Neurospora crassa OR74A: one gene and its partners. The protein of the gene in region 2 interacts with the protein of the main gene of each other region in a biochemical or structural test. Links are inferred from orthologs where the notes say so. Each region holds a gene or a part of one and is shown on either strand. Other genes may lie near its edges.

Region 1 (4,943 bases), on a different chromosome or scaffold from region 2:
TCCTTCGCCTCCAACCACAACCACGCCTCCTCCCCATCCCCCTGCTGCCCTGACTCCTCCGGAAAAGCCGCCATCCCCTTCCTGTCCACCACCACCGTCCACAACCCCCACAACCCCTCCGAGTCCTACACTACCCGCCTCTGGCCCTCGCACTGCATCGCCGACACCCCCGGCGCTAGCCTCATCCCCGAGCTGGACGTTTCCAAAATCGACCAGATCCTCGAAAAGGGAACCAACCGCCTTGTCGAAATGTACTCGGCCTTTTACGACCCCTTCACCTCACCCCGCGTGAGCGATTCGGGCCTCGCACACATGTTGAGGGAGGCCAAGGTAACGCACGTCTATGTGGTGGGGCTGGCGGCCGATTATTGCGTGTGGAGCACGGCGATGGATGCACATAACGAAGGGTTTGAGACGGTGGTGGTGGAGGAGGCGACGAAGCCTGTTGATGAGGACGGGTGGAGGAGGTGTAAGGAGGCGCTTGTGGGGGAGCCGGGGGTGAGGGTTGTGAGGTGGGAGGGAGAGGAGGTTAGAAGGCTGTTTCCTGGGGGTTTGGTGACAACAACTGTCGGTGCTGGGAATGACGAGGAGGTAGTGGAGGAGGAGGAGGAGGAGGAGAAGATTTGAGGAGGTGGAAGGAAAGGGAGGGAGGAAAATTGAAACTGGAACTGCTGGCGGGGATGGACGAGGTCAGCGGGAAAAGGCTTTGGCTTTTTGTTGTGCTTTTGTAGGCGGGTGAAGAGGTACCTTATATGCAGCGTTGGCTGCTCGGTCGTTCAACGGGAGCATGACAACATGCAGTGCACAGGCATGGCATGGCGGCCATGCTTCAGGGCGGATACTGCGTTGCTTCGGCGCCTGCGTTGCGTTGCGTTGCGTTGCGTTGCGTTGCGTTACGAGCTTTAGATTGTTTATTTGTTTTCATTTTCATTCCACGGCCGATTATAGCTGACTTTGTTTAGGCTTAGCGATGAGCGCTCTTAGCGATACATTCTTGATACCCTTTCAGGAAGATGACGAGCAGATACCGACATGTGTTGTGCAATATCATGGCGATTTGAAGGGGAAGCTTTGCCATGTGTCAGTACACTGCCTAGTATTCGGCATCCCGCTCAACGCGGATTTAAAAAAAAAAAAAAAGAAAAAAAAAAAAAAAAAAAAAACCAAGAGGTACTCGGAGTCTCCCGCCTACTACGGTGTCGAATTCGTGGTTGGACACATGGAGTCAACAAAGTTCCAAGAAGTAAGCGGGCAAAAAGAGACTCCATGCCCTTGTGCGCTCGTGAAACTACACACGAAATGTTGACAAATCGTCTCCCTAACCCTAATGACATGAATGGAATTTACTGTACAAGAAAGTGATAAAGATAAATTGTCATTTCTCATGCAATTCATTAAGGGATGGTATGATTTCCCATTCAAACGGGAGTAAATGTGTGTTCAAGAAACCCACGCCATTCCGACCTTCGTTCCCAAGCGCCAATGCTATGATCCCCGGCCAAACCAATGCCCCTTTTTGATCCCCTTTCGTTCATTTTTTTGTTCTGTTTTACCGGCCAACGCGGATGACGCCAGCAGCGATAAGCTTCTGGATCTTGGTCCTGACGTTGGGGTTCCTCATGTGCTCGGCCAAAGCGGCAGGGTCGGACTGAGCCTGCTGGAGGATGGCCTGCATGACAGGATCGGACATGATACCCATGATCTGAACGCGAATATGTTAGTATATGTTGCAAACAGTGAATCTGGTATTACGATATGACATACCTCAGGATCACGCGCCAGACGCTCCCTTGTCTGCTCCTCGGTCTCGTTCTCGCGAGCCGCATACATGGCGTTGAAGGCCTTCTGCTCCAGCTGCTCAATCTCACGAGCGTTGGCGCCATTGTGGTACTCGGCATCGATCTTGCGGGCTTCGGTGCAGGCGTCAACGCACTTGCTGTACTCGCGCATGCCAAAGTAGATCTGAGCCTTGCGGATGTAAGCACGGATGAACTTGGGGTCCTTCTTGATGGCCGTCTCGCAGTCTTCAAGGGCGCTAGGGAACTCGAGGAGCTTCATGAAAGCAGCAGCACGGTTGCTGTAGCCGCGGGGGTCATCCGGAGCACGCTTGATCATCTCGGAGTAGGCAGCAACGGCGCCGGGCCAGTCCATCTCCTTGAACTTCTTGTTACCCTCCTCACGAGCCTCCTCGGCCTTGACGGGGTCAATGTAGGCCTTGCGGGCAGCCTCGATCTTGTTGCGTTCAGCCGCGCGCACCTTGCTGATGACCTCAGGGGTACGGTGCTCGCGCAGACTCTGGTTGTAGTATTCAATCGCATTGGTAAGATCACCCAGCTTCTCGTAGGCAGAACCAATGCGCGCAAGCGACTTGGCAATGACCTTGAAGTCGGCATAACGAGCACGACCCTCCTCGGCAGCCTTCTTGCAGGTGTCAATGCAAGCCTGGTAGTCGCCCTTCTCAAAGTAGGCGGCGCCAAGGTTGTTGAGGTACACAATGTCCTTGTACAAGTCCCAAGCGGCCTGGTAGTGCTTGATGGCCTCATCAAAGTTGCGCTTCTTGTAGCACTCGGTACCAAGGGCCTTTTCCTTGTCGGCCGCCTCCTTGGCCTTCTTCTTCTCCAACTCCTCCTCATCCAGCTCCGGCTCGGGCTCGGGCTCGGGCGTCTTGGGCTTTGGTGGCGTCTCCTGCTTAGGGGCCGGGGCATCAGTCATGTTGACGTCCTCCTGGGGGGCTCCAGGGGGCACGTCCGAGTCCCTCAACTCCATGTCTACACCCATCAGGACACCAAGGACCTGGATCATCCTGGGGTCGGAGAAGAGATCTTGCGCGTTCGAAGGGTTCTGCTTGACAGCCTGGAGCTTGGCCATGAATGCCGGGTCGGAGAGGAAGGCAGCCGTCTTGGGGTTGCCGGCGAGCTTCTGGATGAGGTTGGGATCGGCGAACATCTGGCCAATACCACCGCTGAGGTCACCGCCGCCAGCCTCCTGCTGCATGGCGCGCTGAACAGCCTCAAAATCCTTCTTCATGCCAGCATTGTTGGGATCAATCTTGAGGCCCTGCTCGTAAGCATCGTTTGCGCCCAGCAGGTCACCCTTGCCGAAGAGCGCTGTGCCCTTGCGGCCCCAGCCCTTGGGCCAGTCAGGCTTGATCTCGGTGGTCTTCTCGGCATCCTTGAGAGCATTGTCCCAGTCCTTCTTGGAAGCGTACGCGGCGGAACGGTTGCTGTAAAGGATGTGGTTGCTAGGGTCGAGGGCAATGGCTTGTGTGAACTTGTCACTGTAAAGGGACAGCTAGTGTCAGTGGATAGCTGACATGGATGTATGTGATATCGGCGGTAGAGCTTACATGGCCTCGTCAAAGTTCTTCTCGGCAATGGCCTTGTTGCCAAGAGCCTTGAGCTCGTCCGCGGTCGACATTATGGTGTGTGGTTACTTGTATTAATGATTTCTGAAGGTGATATGGGTATCTCGGGATAGAAGAAATGCGACGGGGAGTGCAAACTGGTGCGTTACAGAATCTTGCTTTTGGGTATCACGGAATTGGATGTCAGTGCCCAGGAAAGAGGCTTCGTCGGGAATCAGGCTGAAGGATCACCAGATTTATTCACGGGGAGAAAGAGGGCGCGACATGACTGGAAACGGCAGCGGCCTGGGCGGGCGGCCTTCTGTCGTGGAAAGGGAATGGAAAGCTCTGGACCTTCGATGCCTTTCGATGGTCAAGTCGGCTTGTGATTGGATGGTATCGTTGAGCACTGGAGTACACTACAGCTCCCCCGCCAACTGCGTCTTTCAGGGTGGCAGGTGCCCCTCTTTTGAGGCTGCTCGGCTGCCGTCTATGTACCTAATGACCCCGCTGACAGCTGAGGTCCGACCCCCGCATCGACCTTAGGTTGTCATGGTCGAGGCCGATGCGGTGTCTCGTCCGTAGAAGTACCCGGGCTGAGAACGGCCAGCGTCACCGGAAAAACACCCTGGAGGTCCTTCAGAGAGAGCGGTAGTGATTCTGTTTCACTTCGACTCTACTTCGGGATCAGGTCGACGCTTGCCACCAGTTCAGCTCACTTACCTTCAAGCCTATAACCTGGACACGGCCGCCTGCATTGCCCCGAGAAATGGGCGCGCCTTGGGCTTTCTAACCATTCATCAGGCAATACTTAATAGGGTAGTGCAACACTTCCTACGATGGGAATTTTCTCCTGTCCACCTCCTATTCGGTATCGCAGCAGGCAGCCGAGAAATAGCTAGTGTATGTGGCCAGACTCCACAGACAACCTCAATCATGTCTGGGTAAGCATCGCGAAGGTCCTCAGCCCATCCCTTGTGCTCATCGATAGAGAGGACGTCTACCGGCACCGAAAAGCAGGGCGAGGACAAGCCGGCGCATATTCTCGGGTCAATAGTCTCTCAAAGCCCGAGGACATGATGCTTCTGATGCTTTGAAGTCGGTGGACGAGTTCTCCTCAGCGCCACATATCCCCAACTGCTTCATACCAGCTCTGTCCCTGTCCTCTCTTATCCGTGTGTTGGCACAGACTGGGAGTCATGCTCGAATGACACGCTCCTTACGTCAACACCTCTCATAACCACCTTCTGTCGTCTGAGAAATCCGTCTTCCTTACCTAAGGGCCCGGTTCAGGCAGATACGGCTATTGGACCATGAGTACGAGCATTGAACTGAAGCTTTAGGTAAACCCGAATATGTTGGATCAGCCTCACACGTTGTTAGCTCAATTCGCCATGATCAAACATCCGTCTACTATTGGGTTCGTGGCCGGTAGATCGTATGCTATCTCATCTGGGCTTGAGTGATGGGGCGGCTTTTGCGCATTGCTGGAAACTCGTATGGCATACAAGGAAGACCGAGTTGTTGAACTCTTTGCTTGCCGGGAGTATTTGAACGCTCCCGCTGGTTGTCATTATGTCACCCATGGGCTTTGACCTCA
Region 2 (5,782 bases):
TGTTGAACCTCGGCTCGTCAGTTTGTCTGTGTTGGGCCTTCTGAACAGGTGATTATGAGTTGTTAGCTTGGCTCGGCTTGCGCACCGTGATACATTGCTCCGCAAAATCCCCCGAAGGTCTCACGATGGGAAACAGCCCAGCCTGGTGTGTTGCCCTAGTGATGCCCGGGACGGGAGCAAATAAACATTGCCCCTGTTCAGCCTCGGTAGCACCGAACGACGATTACAAGCCATATCTTATGGTAACCGCGACTTTCAGAAACGGTATCCTGGCGCAATGAAAGCATCACGGAATCATGCCCTTAACGCTCATCCGCTTGCCATCTCAGGACCTAGCCCAACTTGACCTTTCCAAAGTAGAATCCCCTGCCCCCATTACTCAACCAGCACTCTTCTTCATCAACCAGCGAGTTTGCCCGTACAACCTGCTCAACCGCAATTCCCCTACCCAGGCGCGCCGTTAGCAGAACTGCCCAATAATAATCATCTCATCTCAAAGCAGGAGAAACGCACCTTTCCAAAGCCCATCTCCTCGTAGTTCCCGCATTTCCACCACTTCCCCAATCCCCTTCTGTCTCTCCCTCACCTTCCCCAACCGGCGGTGTCACCCATCTCCCGTCTCTCCAAAAGTACGGCGTGGCAATACTCCCTTCCATCACCTCCCCATCCTCGCTAACAATCAACACCTCCTTCCGATCCGTCAACGCGATCCCGTGCCTCTTTCTCGCTTCGTCGTAGATTTGGCGCTTCGTAGTCTTAAAGTGCGTGTATGCTGACTTTTTGGACCTTTGGGTGTCGACTAGGACCTCGAACGGCGTCGAGGTTCCCATCAGGCATAGACTAGGGATATTGGTACCCGGCTGGGGAAGGGAATTTGGGAAGAAGTTGGCTGTTGAAGGGACTTGTGGTGCTGGTGAGATGGTGATGCCTAGCTCTCCCTTCTCAGAGACGGTTACACGGATGCGGTTTGGGTGAGATCGCTGCTCGTCGGAGAGGGAGGAGAAAATGAAGGAGGAGAGCGTTTCGAGACCGCTGTCACCGGAGAGGAGAGAGACTACGGCGGGCCATTTGAAGTGAGTGGCGGCGCGCAGGATGCGATCGCGATGGTAAGGAAGCATGTACAATGGAGCGAACGGGGAGGATTCAGTGGGAGAGACGAAGCCGGGAAGCAGGAGAGGGTCGTAACGCAGGGTGGTGAAGAGGAGGAGGGGAGCTTCTGTCGTGGTCGCCATTGTGAGGGTGCCTGTCTTTGAAGGTTACCTAGATGGAGGAACAGCATAGACTCGATGGATTAGAGACTCCGAAGAGTGAAGGTGAATGGTGAAGAATACGATATCCGTAATGTATTATCTGTTTTATATGACATGCAATCCAGCTTGCTGACTCATTGCTCTCTGTGGTCGTTTCATGGGGAATATAATGTATAAAATCTATCAGCTTAGGTTTCCTCATACCTGATGGGCCCGATAAATCAACAATCCTTCGCGCCGACATGACCGATGATTGGTAAAAGAAGCCGCCGGTGATGGCAGGAATGAAACATGTAACAAAAAGATACAGACGGATGTATAAACTGAAATCACTGCAGTCCACGAGTCAAGTTCTGTCACAGTTGCATCAAAGACGGCAGCGACAAGGTCTGGACGGGATGACACTGCCCTGATGGTCGAATGGCGGGGCGTTCAACTTTAAAGTGGAACCACCCAAGCTGCCCTGATCCGCTTTTGCTTGACGTACATAAGCGAAGCTTACCCCACCGTGTGCGGTCATTCTTGGCGTTTATTCCATTTCCCCTCGGCTGAGTTGAGAGATATCTCAGCTACGAACGTTGATGAACTTGGGTTAATGGTGGTTGGAGTTATCTGAAATAGAGTATTCTCAGGGCTTATCTAGTCTGTGATAGTAGACAATGTAGAAGTCTTCATTCTTGTTATAAACTTCGACCTCCGTTGTTCCGAAAATCCAAGGGAAAGGGGAATGGATGTTCAGCTCCGAGTAGTCCATGTGTAAACCAACAGTGCTGAGCTGTAAACAGAGGGGATTCAGGCACCAGCTGCCCTGACAAGGCTTGGCAATAGCAGCTTGAAGGAGCTCAGACCACGTCAGCTTTGGAGGTCAACACTGTCTATTTACATCCCATTAGGCCTTAGTTCATGATATGTAATACCGTAGAGGTATGTATGGTAGTTTGTTTGCCGGTTGCCCAGCCGCCAGCCGCACTGCCGCCCGCGTCAAAACAACTTTTTTTTTTTTTTTTTTTTTCTCGCACGACGAAGATCTCGGAGCTTGAGCCCCAGCAGACAGACATTCATACGTCTGCCCATCCACCGACGCCATCGAGCAATTACCAAGCTTGAGGATTCCATTTGCTACTACCTTTTTCAGTGACTGTGCGCGTACCTGTGGACTTATTGTGGACTGCGCTGCCGTGTGCCAAGAGGGAAAACCTGTAGAGGAGTGAAGGAGTACCCCGGGCCCAACCTTGAAGTCCAGTTACGTTGCCGTGGGCTGTGGCCGCCGCCCGCCGCGCTATCCAAGTCCGGGTCCGACCCTTGCGAACGAACCCGCATCATCCACTCAAAAAAATAGAGGAACTTCACTTGGCTTGTTACTTACTGCAATTGAAGCAGTTGCCGGAATCTGTCTCTGAACTTGCCGCCGCCGCCGCCGTCCCTTCGTCTCCTCGATTACCTAGCCTTGCCATTCGGTCGTCTCTCTGCCGACTCCGATCTAGTATATACCCTGATTGTTTACCTTATCTACTAGAGGTTCTCCTACACCCATCACCACATAATAACCATGGCTCCCACCATCCCGCCGCCCTCCGTCCCCATCCCGGCGGCCACGCCCGTCACTGTCCCGGCCGACTCGTCCATCTGGGACCGCGTCTCCAACTGGGTCTCGGAGCACAAGGCTGTTGTCTACACCATTGCTGGTGTTTCCGTCGTCATCACCACCGCCGGTGTTGTCTACTATCTCCGCAAGGGATCAGTACGTTGCATCCTTCTCCCGCGCATCTTCCCGCGTCCCGCGTCTCGCTGCTGCCCTGCGCCCTGCCCAGCTGCATGAGGTCTTCTCGTTTACTAACGTTTGCGCCCACTCCCCCCAGGAGCAGAAGGAGTCCGGCCCCAAGCTCAGCAAGAAGGAAAGGAGGAAACGGAAGCAGGCCGAGAAGGGGGAGGCCGAGAAGGCTTCTACTTCCAAGACAGAAGAGGCCGCTCCCACACAACCCAAGGCCGCCGCCGTCGAGAGCGCCGACGAGCTGCCCGAGATCGATGAGGAATCCGTCGTCAGGCTATCCGAGGACGAGCGCAAGGCGTACGCCGCCAAGCTGAAGGAGCTCGGAAACAAGGCCTACGGTTCCAAGGACTTCAACAAGGCCATCGACCTTTACTCCAAGGCCATCATCTGCAAGCCCGACCCCGTCTACTACTCCAACCGCGCCGCTTGCCACAATGCCCTCGCCCAGTGGGAGCAGGTTGTCGCCGATACCACCGCCGCTCTCAAGCTCGACCCCCACTACGTCAAGGCCCTGAACCGCCGTGCCAATGCCTACGACCAGCTTAGCCGCTACAGCGACGCTCTCCTCGACTTCACTGCCAGCTGCATCATCGACGGCTTCCGCAACGAGCAGAGCGCCCAGGCCGTCGAGCGCCTCCTCAAGAAGTTCGCCGAGAACAAGGCCAAGGAAATCCTCGAGACAAAGCCTCCCAAGCTCCCCAGCTCCACCTTTGTTGGCAACTACCTCCAGAGCTTCCGCTCCAAGCCCCGCCCCGAGGGTCTCGAGGACTCTGTTGAGCTCTCCGAGGAGACCGGTCTTGGTCAGCTGCAGCTTGGCTTGAAGCACTTGGAGAGCAAGACTGGTACTGGTTATGAGGAGGGCTCCGCCGCCTTCAAGAAGGCCCTCGACCTCGGCGAGCTCGGTCCTCATGAGGCTCTTGCCTACAACCTCCGTGGTACCTTCCACTGCCTCATGGGCAAGCACGAGGAGGCTCTCGCCGATCTCAGCAAGTCCATCGAGCTCGACCCTGCCATGACCCAGAGCTACATCAAGCGTGCTAGCATGAACCTTGAGCTCGGTAAGTCTTTGTCTTCAACTGTTAACTTGGACCTGTGCTAACCCCTTTTATAGGTCACCCCGACAAGGCCGAGGAGGACTTCAACAAGGCCATTGAGCAGAACGCCGAGGACCCTGATATCTACTACCACCGCGCCCAGCTCCACTTCATCAAGGGGGAGTTCGCCGAGGCTGCTAAGGATTACCAGAAGTCCATCGATCTCGACTCCGACTTCATCTTCTCCCACATCCAGCTTGGTGTCACCCAGTACAAGATGGGCTCCATTGCCTCTTCCATGGCCACCTTCCGCCGCTGCATGAAGAACTTCGACCAGACCCCCGATGTCTACAACTACTATGGCGAGCTTCTTCTCGACCAGAACAAATTCCAGGAAGCCATTGAGAAGTTCGATACCGCGATCGCCCTCGAGAAGGAGACCAAGCCCATGTGCATGAACGTTCTCCCCCTCATTAACAAGGCTCTTGCCCTCTTCCAGTGGAAGCAGGATTATGCCGAAGCTGAGCAGCTCTGCGAGAAGGCCCTCATCAGTAAGATAGCCCCCATTTCAAACCAAATTATCATATCTTGTGTGCTAACATGAATGATTCCAGTCGACCCCGAGTGCGACATTGCCGTCGCCACCATGGCCCAGCTCCTCCTCCAGCAGGGCAAGGTCGTCGAGGCCCTCAAGTTCTTTGAGCGTGCCGCCGAGCTCGCCCGCACCGAAGGCGAACTTGTTAACGCCCTTTCCTACGCCGAGGCCACGAGGACACAGATCCAGGTACAGGAGAACTACCCCGAGCTGGCCAGCAAGCTCCAGGGCATGAGCGGTGGTCCCGGCATGCGGTAAAAGCATGTCAAGATTACTCTAGCAGCATAAAAAAGGAAGAGAAATAAAGAAAGCGATGAAGTTTTGAAACGAAGTAGAAAAGCAGTGTGTTGTACATTAAAAAGGGTTCATTTTTGGTTGTTGCTACTGCTGTAACGGTGTAAGGAGATTGAGGATGTCTGTTGGCGGTAAGGAGACGCGGGAATGGATGGATGGTGTTTTACATAGGTTGGCCTGGATGGGATAGGATGTAATGCTTTTTTTTTAATACTTCTCTCTCTTCTCCCTCTCTCTCTGTCTCTCGATTCCACACGACCTCATCACTACACATCACGATCATCGTCATCATCATCACCATCAATCCATTATCATCATACATCATGTTATGTCATGTTACGCTTCGGGGGTCAAATTGGCATTTGATTTTGGTTGAATATGGAGTTGATTTCAATGCTCTTCTCTCTATCTGCTTTTATGGGCCAACTCTACAGATGGGGAGTTCGGTATGTTCGTAATTATATGACGAATTAGTATGTTGTATATACTCACCTTGGAGTTGTAGTAAACGAGCTTAAATACGCTGAACAACACAAAACAAACGAGAATGAAGATGAAGATGAAAATGAAACATGGGTATCGATAAAAACCAACGTGGGACATCCGTACGGGGTGATTTCTCGGGGCCTCCTCCGAGTCACCTTTCATATTAAAAGTTAGACTCAAATTCTAAGCAACCCCAGAAACAGCCAATCTCAACACCCCCCCACCCCCAAAATAAAAAGAGAAAATTTTTAAAGAAAAAAAAAAACCCTTAGAAACAAGCCCAACCACCGATTCCCGGCGTCTCTTCTTTTTTTTTTTTCTCTCTTTTTTCTTTAGGTCTTTCCCACTCTCC
Region 3 (4,998 bases), on a different chromosome or scaffold from region 2:
TCTGGCGAAATGGTCTACCCTGCCCACTTCGATTGCTACCCAGAGCTAAAGGACATGAAGGAGACGGCCGAGCTTCTGGCCAAGCACGACGACTGGCCGCGGCTCTACGACCTGGACCAGCTTGCGCGGAACGAAGTCCCTGTCTACGCGGCTAGTTATGTTGAGGACATGTATGTCGACGCGGACTTTGCAAGGGAGACGGCCAAGGCGGTTAGAGGGACCAAGGTGTTTGAGACGAACGTGATGTATCACGGAGCGTTGAGGGCCAAGACCGACGAGGTTCTGGGGCAGTTGTTCAAGTTGAGGGATGATACCCTCGATTAAGCGTGAGTGGTTGTCGGGGATTTCAGCTCGTTGCCGGTTTGGCGTGGATGTTAAGATTCTTGATGAAGACAAATTCCCTTTTGTTTTGAATTTGGTGAGATGTTGGCGAGGACGTGTGCTTTTGATACTGGTATCACACGATCGGGGAGATGAGGTTCATATTTACTTGAGTCTTCACGACCAACGAGAGGTGCCCTAACTGGCCCCCAGGAGGCTGATGTTTGGTTTGGAAAATTGACGTGTTGCTCCGGTCTCAGATGCTCAAAATCATGTCCGATTTGCCTTGAATGGCGAATTTACACGCACGCGGTCTTAAAGACTGTGAGTACACTGGATGGGTACGCTAGGAGCTCGTCGGCAGCCTATATCTAATGACCACAACATAACAACATGCAGTTCGCCAATGAAACGAAATATGGCATTCAGGAATCCTGATCATTTCGCTAACAATCCCAGAAAAAAATAAAACAAAATCCAGCTCCCCTTCCCCCTTTCTTCCTGGATCCAGGTGAGCAGCAATCATGTGATACGCGTAGCATGAGCATGTACTGAGTAGTCCCCCCCTGTTCCTTTCTCATGCTACATGACCTTCCTGTGTCCTTCATATGAAGCAAATAGCCGGGATAAGACGGTAATGCCATGTCCATGCCCTTCATCCTTCTTTTCTATCAGTCCGATATCCTCTCTAGAACGCCTGCCAATAAGACCGGGTGTTGATATATTTTGACATCGATAGAAGTAAAAGTCCACCATGTCATTAAACGCAGGTGAAATAGGGGGAACATCAAACAACGAGATTGAACCCTCTTCTTCCACCGTGATAGTGATAATCCGGGTGCTGTGTGGATAAGTGTGATCGTATCCCTTCCACCCGTGCCGACTTGATCACACTTCAGGTATTACCGGTTTTCACCTTGCATCATACCCCCTTTTTGTTCCCTTCTCCAACTCTTCGTTTTGTCGGCCCCTCAAATATCGTGCCTCGTCAAATGTGCAATACTCGATAATGAGTCGAGTAATCGGGTATATTTGCTTCGTTAAGGATGATCATGGGGACAAGAGACATGAAATGATTTAGAATCGTTGCAAATCATTCATCCTCCATAGCAAGTCTCAAACAATGTCGTGCATGGCACGCTTTGTTGGACCGTCGCTTGTGCCGCAATTTATCGTCGAATTATGGATAAGGTTGGTACTGCTTCCCCGCCCATTTAGCTCGCTTACTGCGAGGCGCACTGTACGCGTTCGGCCTGAGGCTCGTCATCCTCCTCCATAGGGCTGTTGGAGAAGCCACGGCCGGCTCCGTTGCCCTCGACGTCCTCCAATTCTGCTGGCTCGGTCATAGCATCCTGAGGGGGTACGTTGACAACAGCGGGGGCCGGGAGGTACTTGCGAAGAGCCTCGAAGGCAGCGGGATCCTGAGTCCAGTTCTTCTCGGGGAACCTGACGGAAAACTGGATATACATGTTGCCGTAATCGTGGTGGCGGTAGGAGGGCATACCCTGGCCACGAATCATCTTGACGGAGTCTATCTTGCTGTTAGCGCTTGCTGATGCATAATGTAGCCGGACAGAAGAACACTTACTGGGCGCAATAGCCTCGCCGGGCTGGATGTCGACGCTCAACCAGCGCTCATCGAGATGCTCGATGTAGATGGTTCCACCGGCAAGGGCGGTCACGAGATCGATCTCGCACTTGTAAAGAAGATCATCCTCCTGACGGGTGAAGCGGGGATGGGGCTTCTGCTCGATGACGAAGACGACGTCACCGGGGAGAATGCCAGGTGCTTGGTCACCCTCACCACGGAACTCGACCTTGGTGCCGCTCTTAACGCCACGGTCAACGTGGACGTGGAGGACCTTGCGATCGACAACGGTCTTCTTGCCATTGCACTGCTTGCAACGATCCTTCTCCTTGATTACCTCGCCTTCGCCATTGCAGTCAGGGCAGACGGTCTGGAAGCGCTGAATCATGGGGCCCATCTGCCTCATCATGATCTTGGTACCCTGACCATCGCAGCCAGCACACCGCTTGACGGCACCTTCCTTACCGCCGCGACCCTCGCACTTGGGGCAAAGGATTGACCGCTGAAGGGCCAGCTTGGAGATCTTGCCGCGGTAGATGTCCTCAAGCGAGACGTGGTGGGTGTGGTGAATAGTCTTGGCCTTCGCGGGGGCACGCTGCTGGTTCATACCGCCGAACATACCACCGAGACCGCCGCCGAAGCCACCGCCGCCGAAGAACTGAGCGAACAGATCCTCGGCAGCCATGCCGCCACCGGCACCGGCGCCACCCTCAAGACCAGCCTCGCCATACTGATCGTAGATGGCGCGTTTTTGGGAGTCGGAAAGAATTTCGTATGCGTGAGAAATCTCCTTGAACTTCTGCTCGGCAGCCGGGTTGTTGGCGTTCTTGTCTGTAGTGTTTTGTGGTCAGTAAGCCTTCTGGCTGCGCGTGTTGCAGGGAAGGCGGAACATACCTGGGTGGTACTTAAGGGCACCGGTCTTGTATGCCTTCTTCAATTGCGCCTCAGTGGCATCTGGGCTGACCTAAATATGGGCGTTAGGGGGCCTCCTCTGTCAGGCGAGGGGTATCGGTAAGCAGCAGAACTTACTCCAAGAGTCTCGTAGAGCTTTGTTTCCTTGACCATCTTGACTGTCTGGTCTAGTTATGTGAATGGGTGTGGGAAAATGTTCTGGCAGTTCGGAATGCTCTGGACAATCAGTTCCGATGACAATGACGGATATGGGAATGTGTCAGGGCCGTTAAGAAATCGTGGTCTGATGGGAAGACAGATAAGGTCAGCGGCTGCGAGGTCGTGTCGAGAATAATGGAGATGGAGTCGAGAGGAGACAATGAATGGCTGGTGCAAATGAAGAGTGGTGGTGGACAACGGTGGAAGAGAAAGATCTTTTTGCGCAAAGGGTTGGGAAAGGCCGACGGGGTCCCGAGTCGGGGTTGGTTTGGCAGAAGTTGGGGACTTCCAGGCCTCGCTTGCTGGTCCAGGGCACCGAGAAAGAAGCGCAGAACAGGAACGGACAGAAACAGGGATGGACCTACCAGAACAGCTTGAGCTACAGTGACAGCAGCAGGAAGCGTCCGAGATGAAAATAGTTGATAAGGTACGGGATTTGAGTCGCCGGAGGATAGTTGGGAGTGATAGGAGGCTTGATGAGGCGTAGTTGTAGTAGCAACACGCAAGACGGAAGATGGGGTATAACGGAATGACTGATCAACTTTCTCGAGAAAACTGTCCAAGTACCGGCAGCAGGGTTCAAATATTATCAACCAAGGCAGGGCAACAGAACCGGAATCTTCACTGCAATTCTGGAATAGGCGCAGAGGGAGGGATGCGGCGGGCGCCTTGTGCGTTGGGGGGAGGCCCGGAACGGCAAAGGAGGCTGAAGTGGGTGACTGGCCCAGTGAGTTCTTCTCCAGCCCCTCTCATGGAAATCAATCGAAAGCTCTAGAGTGTGGCTGACAGATATGGGGGCCAGTAATGAGCTACTTCCTCGTCCCGCTCCTGCAGGGTTGCGAAGAGGGCGTGCGAGGTGAGAGGTGACCAGGTTCCCCACACTCATCCCAAAGTACCTCTTTATCACTCATTGAGAGGATCTAGCCTCAGGAGATGCAGATGGAAATTCGGTTGACCTTGGAGGACCCTGTCGATCGTGGCTGGTGCGCTCCAATGTGACAGTGACCAATGCCCAACTTTCAACTTTTATTTTAACCGCACGCAATCATGCAAAACATGGTGCATATGTACCTTTGATAAAACTGTAAAAACGCACACCATCTTTACACTAGGCATTTTATCTTCTTTTTACAAGGCAGCATGCATGTCCTCTGATTGGGTTGTTGGTGATGTTGTCTCGTCTGGATCCGAGTTGGCGTCCGCTCGAAACCCTGCAGGCGTTCCGCTTCCCAACAACCCCCACTAACATCTTGAGGTCGCCTTTTGCCCCTCGGTTTTTCAACCCCCTTCAACCACTCGTCGCGGGGCAGCTTCTCATAAGGGTTTACCTTTCATCTAGAGAATTCCAGGTGAAGCAAGCGAGAATGACGTGCGCTGCTGCTTTGCTTATCGATCACCAAAAAGACTCGGAGCGTCTATCTGTGGTTCAAGAGGAGATACTCGGGATCAAATCATTAAGATCCATGAATTATATAGCCTCAGCATCTGTGCCTTACCGAGGTGTCCTAGCTCAGATGCCTTTCTCTTTTGTCTCTCTCTCTCTCTCTTTCTTTTTTCTTTTTTTCTTTTTTTCTTTTTTTTTTTTCAAATGCCTACAGTACACCGGTTCAATGGCAGTTTGATATGAAACTAAATGGTTACCCTCGCAAACAGCACCTTATCGCACTGAGTGACATCTCGGAAGTGGGGGGTCTGCTACAAAGGCTAGATAGGTATACACCAATACCACGGAGATACCAGGGAGATAAGGTGTCTTAGGTCACATATTCAATCAGCCTGATGTTCATCAAACGTGGAAAATGGGAACTTGGCGAGTTGAAGTCGAGTGACAACATCACGGTGGTACTTCTGGAAAAGTTATCTCTTCCAGACCATAGCTACCTACCTTCTGCACTCCAAAGTTCTCTCAGCCCTCTTACATAGCATACCTCTTATTTGACCTCCCTAAATTCCTCCATCATGGATGATGCTGCCGGTCT

What was found.
Region 1: the proteins of tom70 (region 2) and NCU00714 form a complex in vitro, tested with the Saccharomyces cerevisiae proteins (2 studies listed by BioGRID). The link is inferred for Neurospora crassa OR74A from reciprocal best matches to the Saccharomyces cerevisiae genes TOM70 and STI1.
Region 3: the proteins of tom70 (region 2) and NCU07414 form a complex in vitro, tested with the Saccharomyces cerevisiae proteins (2 studies listed by BioGRID). The link is inferred for Neurospora crassa OR74A from reciprocal best matches to the Saccharomyces cerevisiae genes TOM70 and YDJ1.

What each region holds. Positions count from the first base shown.
Region 1 is NC_026501.1:7,456,898-7,461,840, reverse strand, and holds NCU00714 (heat shock protein STI1), read right to left. Parts: upstream 3,702-4,943; 5' UTR 3,418-3,701; coding exon 3,347-3,417; intron 3,278-3,346; coding exon 1,765-3,277; intron 1,703-1,764; coding exon 1,550-1,702; 3' UTR 1,237-1,549; downstream 1-1,236. Other genes in the region: nic-8 (isochorismatase family hydrolase), read left to right, coding at 1-627. UniProt on the Saccharomyces cerevisiae protein: May play a role in mediating the heat shock response of some HSP70 genes. It is required for optimal growth of yeast cells at both low and high temperature.
Region 2 is NC_026505.1:5,339,680-5,345,461, reverse strand, and holds tom70 (outer mitochondrial membrane translocase), read left to right. Parts: upstream 1-2,280; 5' UTR 2,281-2,799; coding exon 2,800-2,991; intron 2,992-3,109; coding exon 3,110-4,079; intron 4,080-4,132; coding exon 4,133-4,606; intron 4,607-4,669; coding exon 4,670-4,908; 3' UTR 4,909-5,514; downstream 5,515-5,782. Other genes in the region: NCU04246 (hypothetical protein), read right to left, coding at 333-444, 514-1,232. UniProt on the Saccharomyces cerevisiae protein: Component of the TOM (translocase of outer membrane) receptor complex responsible for the recognition and translocation of cytosolically synthesized mitochondrial preproteins.
Region 3 is NC_026501.1:6,008,807-6,013,804, forward strand, and holds the start of NCU07414 (DnaJ family protein), read right to left. Parts: upstream 3,702-4,998; 5' UTR 3,385-3,701; intron 3,105-3,384; 5' UTR 2,975-3,104; coding exon 2,939-2,974; intron 2,874-2,938; coding exon 2,804-2,873; intron 2,741-2,803; coding exon 1,910-2,740; intron 1,853-1,909; coding exon 1,545-1,852; 3' UTR 325-1,544; coding exon of another isoform or gene 1-324. Other genes in the region: NCU07415 (proline iminopeptidase), read left to right, coding at 1-324; NCU07413 (cytosine deaminase), read left to right, coding at 4,979-4,998. UniProt on the Saccharomyces cerevisiae protein: Probably involved in mitochondrial protein import. Is also required for efficient translocation of pre-pro-alpha-factor. Involved in heme regulation of HAP1, as a component of the high-molecular-weight (HMC) complex.